Callithrix jacchus: one gene and its partner. The protein of the gene in region 2 interacts with the protein of the main gene of each other region in a pairwise test. Links are inferred from orthologs where the notes say so. Each region holds a gene or a part of one and is shown on either strand. Other genes may lie near its edges.

Region 1 (3,810 bases), on a different chromosome or scaffold from region 2:
CCTTTTCCTATTTGGAAAAAAGATCATTTGTGTTTGATAGAACAAAAGGACACAAAATGAATTGTCTTCTTGTGGGCTGTGTTTCAGAACGGCCGGTTTGTGGGCGATGCTGACCTTGAGAGACAGAAATTTTCAGATTTGAAACTCAACGGACCCCAGGTAATTCTTTGGCTCAAGACCCGAGTTGCTTCATTCATATTTTCTTATTTCCCCAGCCCGTGAGAGCATATTGGTGTCTTGTAAAGTGCCTGGCACATTGTACACACCCATTAATTAGTTTTTTTCATTTCCAAAAACAAAGAAATGGAGCTTCAAAGTATATATGTAGTTTTGTTTTGAAATGAATTTTAATGACCACTGATCTTTATGACTATTTTTCTTCCCCACTGCCACCCCATTTGATCCCTAAGCACTATGTTTCTTTTCTAGAGACAGAAGGCTTCTACTTTGCAGCAGAAAACCCTACCTAAAATCTGGCTGGTCTTGAGCCTTTTAGATAGATAGTATCTGAAGAGTGACATAGAGCCAGTCAAAAGATGGCTCTTACTGGGATTTTTCAGGTTTATCTTAAAAGTTTTTTATTTCAGGCCGGGTGTGGTGGCTCACACCTGTAATCCCAGCACTTTGGGAGGCTGAGGTGGGCAGATCACCTGAGGTCAGGAGTTCGAGAGCAGCCTGACCAACATGGAGAAATCCCATCTCTATTAAAAATACAAAATTAGCAGGGCGTGATGGTGCATGCCTGTAATCCCAGCTACTCAGGAGGCTGAGGCAGGAGAATGGCTTGAACCCAGGAGGTGGAGGTTGTGGTGAGCGAGATCACGCCATTGCATTCCAGCCTGGGCCACAAGAGCAAAACTATCTCAAAAAAAAAAAAAAAGTTTTTTATTTTGGCCAGGTGTGGTTTGCTCATTCCTGTAATCTCAGCACTTTGGAAGGCTGAGGCTGGAGGATTTCTTGAGCCCAGCAGTTCAAGACCAGCCTGGGCAGCACAGTAAGACCCTGTCTCTACAAAAAAATAAAATTAGCCAGGCGTGGTGGTGTGAGCCTGTAGTTTCAGCTACTCAGGAGGCTGAAGTGGGAAGATTGCTTGAGCCTGGGAGGTTGGGGCTGCAGTGAGCTATGATCATGACACCATACTCTAGCTTGTATGACAGAGTGAGACCCTATCTCAAGTAAATAAATTAAAAGTTCTTTTTTTATTGGGTGAGCTGCTCTTCTGAGGGGTGACTCAGATATAGATGAAACTGCAGTTAACACAGTTCATATTAACTTAGATGACTACAGCTGGGAAGTTAAATCTACTGTCTCTGTCACTTGGATGTTGATGTGGCTATAGTTAACTCAGTTCATGTTTGTTAAATGACTACAACTGGGAGATTATGTCTACTGTCCTTTTGTACAAGTTTAAAAGATGGCAGCCACCCATCTAAAAATCCTGAGGCCTATAGAAGATGTATGAGGAGTCCCTATCTCCAGGGTCACAGAGCTTAACAGTAGTTTCTTCTCTCTTTTCTTTTCCATATAGGATCACAGTCACCTTCTATATAGCACTATCCCCAGGATGCAGGAACCGGGGCAGATTGTGGAGACCTACACCCAGGAGGATCCTGAGGGAGCTATGTCTGTAGTCTCTGTGGAGACCTCAGATGATGGGACCACTCGGCGCACAGAGACCACGGTAAACTAAGATGTGTATAAGATCTGGAAATGATAGAAGAGGTCTTTTTGTTTCTGTTAGGGGGAGGGGATTAAGCACTTAAGATGGAGGATTGATATGCCATCATTGATCTGACCACATAAAGAAAGTGATCTCTGGCCAGATAGGAAAGATGAAGAGATACGGAAAAGCTTATGGAACAGGGAAGAGAGAAGGTATATCAAGGTCTGTAGCAGCTCCCCTTATAGGCATAATTACTGTCAGGGCAGTTTTCCTGCTTGGGGACTTCCTGTAGGATTGCAAGAAAGATAGATGCTAGACCTTAAAGCATTTCTAGGTAAAAGGACCTAGGGATCTAAGGGTTTGTTTCTTTTAGAGTGGTTTAGAATTTAATTGCTCACTTCCTTCATTAGTTTTTCTTTTTCTTGTTGCTTACTTGCAGGTCAAGAAAGTAGTGAAGACTGTGACCACACGGACAGTACAGCCAGTTCCTATGGGACCAGATGGGTTGCCTGTGGATGCCTCATCAGTTTCTAACAACTATATCCAGACTTTGGGTCGTGACTTCCGCAAGAATGGCAATGGGGGACCTGGTCCCTATGTGGGGCAAGCAGGCACTGCTACCCTTCCCAGGAACTTCCACTACCCTCCTGATGGATATAGCCGCCACTATGAAGATGGTTATCCAGGTGGCAATGATAACTATGGCAGTCTGTCCCGGGTTACCCGAATTGAGGAGCGGTATAGGCCTAGCATGGAAGGCTACCGGGCACCAAGTAGACAGGATGTGTATGGGCCCCAACCCCAGGTTCGGGTAGGTGGGAGCAGCGTGGATCTGCATCGCTTTCATCCAGAGCCTTATGGGCTAGAGGATGACCAGCGTAGTATGGGCTATGAGGACCTGGATTATGGTATGATGTCTGATTATGGCACTGCCCGTCGGACTGGGACACCCTCTGACCCTCGTCGGCGCCTCAGGTAGGCAAGAATGGGGGAAGGTGAAAGGGCCTTTTCCAAGACCAGGAACAAGGGGTAGCTTTTCCTTCAGCTTCTAAGAGCTTTTCGGTATCAGAGATTCTTGTGGCCTCCTCCCCTCTGCTTTGTTTGGGGAGAAAGGCTACCCTGTTTTCCCCCTTTTCTTACTTGGCTTAGTATTGATTTGATATATATATATCTGACACATATATACATATATATATCTGACATATATACATATATATATGTAAACATATATATATTTAAATGAAAATCATATATTCTAATTTTTTTTTTTTTTTGAGATAGTTGTCTTGCTTTCTCACCCAGGCTGGAGTGCGGTGGTGCCATCTTGGCTCACTGTAACCTCTGCCTCCTGGGTTCAAGCGATTCTCGTGCCTCAGCTTCCCTAGTAGCTGGGACTACAGGCAAGCACCATCATGCTTGGCTAATTTTTGTGTTTTTAGTAGAGATGGAGTTTTACCATGTTGGCCAGCCTGGTCTCAAACTCCTGACCTTAGAGCTGATCCGCCTGCCTTGGCCTCCAAAAGTGTTGGGATTACAGGTGTGAGCCACCATGCCTGGCCCATATGTTTTAATTATAGAAAACAACTTGTGATTGTTATTAGTGTATGTCCTGAAGAATGAATTTTGCTTCTGTGCTGAAGTTTCTGCTGTTTCTGGCTAAGCTGTGACCCCTTTCAGTGTTAGGCAGAGGATTCTGATGTCCGGGGCTGTGAAATTCTTGCTCACTTGTTCCTGGGAATTTCTTCAGCTTCTGGTTTGGTATTAAAAACAGAGTTGAGGATTTTAGGGATCCAGAGCCAAAAGAGACGGTTAAAGACACACACACACACCCACCCACACCCGCCCCCCCAACTTTCTTGTGGTGTTTTTAATCCCAAAGCAAACTTTGACCTCACAAGAGCCTTGATACTCTATGCTTAGGGTCTTACATTTGATTGTAAAGTGAAATAATTGTGGTGACATCCTTAGGTGGAGGTCTGGCGGTATAGTAGCAACCCTCTGAAAGGTCACTAAGCAGCTGCCTGCTCTGACTTTACTACTTGTCCCTGGGGATTCTTTGGTGATGTGAAAAAGGGACTGATTGATGTTTGGACTGGTATATGGTTTGCCTTGTTGCCTTGAGAGAATGCTATAGAATGGGGTCTGCA
Region 2 (4,581 bases):
GATATGCCCGCCTCGGCTTCCCAAAGTGCTGGGATTACAGGCATGAGCCACTGTGCCCGGCTCAACTGCATTTCAATAGCCATCTGTCAATTATAAAAGAAAAATTTGAAGGTACAATTAACAATAGTTCTAAAAATTGTTAAGATAGGAAGGACTAAGTCTGACAAAAACACCAACAGAATTAATCCATCAGTTTTTATTTGGGGGATAGAAGCCCTGAGAGGGGAAATGACTCTTTCAAGGACACTCAGTAAGTCAGAGACAATTCTGGATTTTCAGTGGTACCAAATTCTGGAAGTCTGAGTATTGGGTAATTTTGGTATTGTCCTCCTGTTTAAAAAAAATAATAAAAGCCGGAGTGAGGTGGGGTGGGGTGGGGTGCAAAAAAACAAACAAACCAAAACTCGTATTTTTTAATTATAAATTCAATAGTCATGTGTTCTGATTATAAATTCAATATTCATGAAAATGCAGAAGAACACTAAGAAGCAATGTCATTAACATTCCCATACTATTATCTTCAACATGATGATCAATGGTTTGATGTATTTCCCTCAAAATTTTTGTCTGTGTATATTTATGTTTTAAAAAATAAAATCAGGATTATATCATGTATACTAGTTTGTGTACTGATTATTTTCACACACATTTCCCTGTATTCTCCCCTAGTCTTGTGAAGTTGATAATGTAGCACTCAGTTATGTTGATGAAGCATATGTCATTTATTTAACCTATCAATTTGAGTTTTTGGAGAAAAATCAAGTATCAAATATGACTGTGATGATGCTGATAAGAATTTCAGCCCCAGAGCCAGCTCACACACATGCAGATGTGAAACCCGAGTGAGTTTCTAAGGCCAGTGGTTATTCTGGTGGAGAAGCGGAAACAGCAAACCCACCATCAGGGAACTGGCTTCACCGGAAGGGGACCGCGACCTAGCTAGCAGGAAGCGAATGGGACTTGGAACAAGTGGACTCATGGAGACCAATGAGCCCTAAGGCCTTAGGAGCTGCCCATCCTCTGAAGCCTTGGCCTCCTTCCTGGTGAAGTGGGGACAATACCGGCGCCAGCCTTGTCTAGCGCGGAGCTCCTCCAGGCCCCAGAGCCTTTGCACTGGTCGTTTTGTCTGCTGTGGTGGCTCTGCCCTCCTCTCCACTTGGCTGCCCATATTGCAGAGCCTCTGGGCCCGGCTGCTCTTTACTGTTCTGCCCTCCAAGCCGGATGGGTGGCCCCGGAGGCTTCCTCACAGCTCTCATAGAAGCAGTCTCCTCAATGCAGGGCAGGCAGGAGGGGCTCTGGCCGCAGGTCCGGGTCCAGGTCTTCCTTGGCCACTGCGTTTGAAGCAGGGGTCCCCTTCCCTTCTGCTCCATCAAATCCTCTAATCACTCCCCTTCCAACACTTATGATCATAACCTGTCATTATTTTGTCTACTAGCTGTTACCTTGAGTTTTGTCTGTCTTGTCCTTCCATTAGAACCCGCCTCCGTCTTGGTGGGCGCTGTATCTCCTAAACCCCCAGGCCTGAGATATAGTGGGGCCCCATACAAGTTCGTGAAATGATTGAGGAGAAACGCTGCGCGACACCAGCCCTGAGGACGCAGTGGGCTTGTGGCTGGGCGGACCCCAGAATGTGGGCGGAGGCTGGACGTAGGGGCGGGGTTTAGGGGCGGAGCCTAGGGGACCGGACTGGGGCTTCGGGGCGGGGCTTCGGGGCTGCGGTGGTGTGGTCTTAACCACGCGGCTCCGGGTGCGCTAGCTGAGTTCCCCCGGCCGCCGGTCCCTTTGGCTTCCCGCCCGCGCCGCCGGTAGGGGGCGCCCGCGCTCGTGGCGCCTAGGCTCTGCTGGGAAGGCGCCGCCCGCGCCGGGCAGCTGGAGCCGCAACTCCGGGCGCGGGCTCAGTCGTCCCCTCTGCCGCCGCCGCCGCCACCGCCGTCGCCGGGCGCGGGCTCGCTCGTCCCTGCGCTCGCGTTCTCCGGCCGCGGGCAGCTCCCGGCCCGGCCGCCGCCGCGCAGTGAGTGGGGCTGGCGCTGGGCTTGCGGGGCCGGGGCTTGGAAGGGCCGGGTTTCCGGACATGCCTGAGCCGAGCGGGCAGGGGAGCTGGGCTGAGGAGGTTCTGGCCGGGGGAGCCTGGAATCGGGCGGCGGCGGGGCCGCGCTGAGGGGACCGTGCGTCCAGGGGCTGGCACGAGCCCGCGGCGGAGGTGCCCGCGGTCGGGCCTGGGCGGGGGTTCCGGGGCCCGCCCGGCGGGGACGCGCGATTTCGGCGCGCCCCTCGTCCGGGCCCGGAGCATCGCCCGCCCTACCCCTGGCGGGGTCGGGTTGCGGGGGCTTTGCTGGCGGGGCAACAGCGAAGCGTAGCCCAGACGGGGACATTCGGGGTGTGCTCGCAGATGATTGATTTTGGGAGATGGCGCTTATTAGCCACCAATTGCCCTAGTTTAAAACGTGAGGCAGGGCTCTAAACCCTGCCTGTGGGCTTTTCTGCCCTGAAGAGACACTCAGATTGCAGCTGAGTTCTTTAAGCTTAGATTTGTGTGTGTGGTGGCATTTTTAATGCTTGATGTCAAGGTGATAAATGACCGTGGTAATGGGGAGCCCCTGCAGCACCTGCTGGGCTGACGGTGGAGGCTGTGTCTGGGGGTGGGACGGGGAAATGAAACGTGACAGAGATCCTGTTTGGATATTCTGCTGAAGTTATCATGTTTCTGTTCAAGTATACCAGTTCTAGAACAAGTTGATGGATCCAATTTTAGGACTTTGTGATAAAGGAGGTTTGGGTGGCAAAGTGGCCCGGGATGACCCGGCTCGCTAAGCAGATTTGGAGTAGCCCAAGTATCTCTCCATATCCCCCTGGCATGTTCTTTTTTTCGCTGTCACGAATGCCCTATTACTTGAATCATCCTGGGATAGGAAAGCAGCTTGGGGACAGCATGTGACACAGTCCTGAGCCCAAGATTGAGATGTTTTCAAATGAACAAATGTGTAGCTAGGAAAAGGAAAATGTTTTTGTCAGCAGTGTTGGTAGGTTGAGAGAATTTTCTCTTTGGCGGAAAACCATCAGTCCATATTGATATTTGATTTTGTGATTTGCCTTAGATATGAAGGATGCAGCGGTCAGGGTAGTCATGGATGCTATTCCTAAGTTTTGTGATTTGAATTTTCATAAATCATATTTTAACCCAAGTATCACTACTTAAAGGGCTCTTAGGGTGAACCCTATGAATCCTTCAGTGTGTTTGGATTTTGATATTTGGGGTCCATTTAAAATGGAGTACATGTATTTACTGGGATTCAGCTTTACCTTGGAGATAATCCTGAGTCATGCTTTAAATAAGTTCCTTCTGAGATCAAGAGCTCAGATGTCTGGTGATCTCTGGAAAAGCTAGGCACCCCCCTTTACCTGTATGTACTTCTCCCTTCTGGAGCTCTGGGAAAAGGAGCACCTGGGGAGATTTGAAGCAAATTAAGAGGCTGCCTTCTCTATATTTGCCCTGTCTCCAGGCCAGTGCTCTAAATTACTTGTGTTCACACTCAAGTTTCTCATGTTAACATAGAAATTTTGTTTATACTGCTGCCACTAGTGTTTTCATATTTAATACTTGCCAATTTGCAGATGGTTTTATATTCGTGATTTCACTCATTTTCTCCATTTCCCCAAAGAAGAAGTTGGGCATAGAGTGATTTTCTCAGGGTCTCATAATCAGTAATGGAGCAGAATTCGATTACAGGACCTCCCAGGGAACTGTTCTCTTCTTTGTATTGTTGTGTTACTCTTAGAGGCCAATTTTTGCCTTTCTTTTGTGCCTAAATGGTGTAATTACTTTTGAGAAGGTGGTATTATCCTGTTTTTTCTTGTGGAAACTGAGTTAAGAGGAGTGTTATGATTTTGTGACTATCTATGACAGTTTTTTTTAATATTAGGTCACTTTTCAACCTATAGCTCCTCTTTTCTAGACCACATGGTTGAGAGGGGAGAAAGAGAAAATGATTACTTTTCCTGCAGTCATATGGTTAAGGATAATCTAACACCATAATCACATTATCCTTGTATGCCTGGCTACTTGTGCTGGCCTGTGTGTGAATGTTAACCCCAAAGACTCCTTTAGATGTCACTGAACCAGTTACTATAAAAAGTATTTCACTTTCAAACTCCCACATTTCGAGAAGAGCAAAACTCAGTACAAAGGCAATTTTGAAGGTAAGTATAGAAAGAGGGAGTTTATTGAGTCTTTTCTGAATGCCAGACACAAAAACGTTTCAGTAGAAAAGCATTTTAAAGGGCTGCCTGGAAACTCTGGGAAGGTAGTAGTTGGAGGTTTTTATTATTCATTGAAGTTTGGAGGTTTATATTGCAACATGTAAGTTGTTATATAGGATTAGGACTTTGGCCCTGGAGAATTCTTAGTCTATAGCAGAAATGATAAACTCAGAATATTTTTGTTAAGTTAGTTCATCATAACCAGTAAGCCTGTAATTGCAGTTCCACAGTGGTAGGGAGAATTGCATTTAAGGGTTCTTAGGTTACTTTTTAAGCTATTAACTTACTGAATTATGTATTCTTCAGATATGCTACTTTAGAAAA

What was found.
Region 1: the proteins of KCTD6 (region 2) and CTNND1 interact in binary tests that used the Homo sapiens proteins (3 or more experiments, as listed by UniProt). The two-hybrid records come from large-scale screens. The link is inferred for Callithrix jacchus from reciprocal best matches to the Homo sapiens genes KCTD6 and CTNND1.

Annotation. Positions count from the first base shown.
Region 1 is NC_133511.1:115,363,576-115,367,385, forward strand, and holds part of CTNND1 (catenin delta-1), read left to right. Parts: intron 1-87; coding exon 88-159; intron 160-1,528; coding exon 1,529-1,681; intron 1,682-2,102; coding exon 2,103-2,638; intron 2,639-3,810. UniProt on the Homo sapiens protein: Key regulator of cell-cell adhesion that associates with and regulates the cell adhesion properties of both C-, E- and N-cadherins, being critical for their surface stability.
Region 2 is NC_133516.1:40,276,887-40,281,467, forward strand, and holds the start of KCTD6 (BTB/POZ domain-containing protein KCTD6), read left to right. Parts: upstream 1-1,758; 5' UTR 1,759-2,011; intron 2,012-3,953; exon of another isoform or gene 3,954-4,197; intron 4,198-4,581. UniProt on the Homo sapiens protein: Probable substrate-specific adapter of a BCR (BTB-CUL3-RBX1) E3 ubiquitin-protein ligase complex mediating the ubiquitination and subsequent proteasomal degradation of target proteins.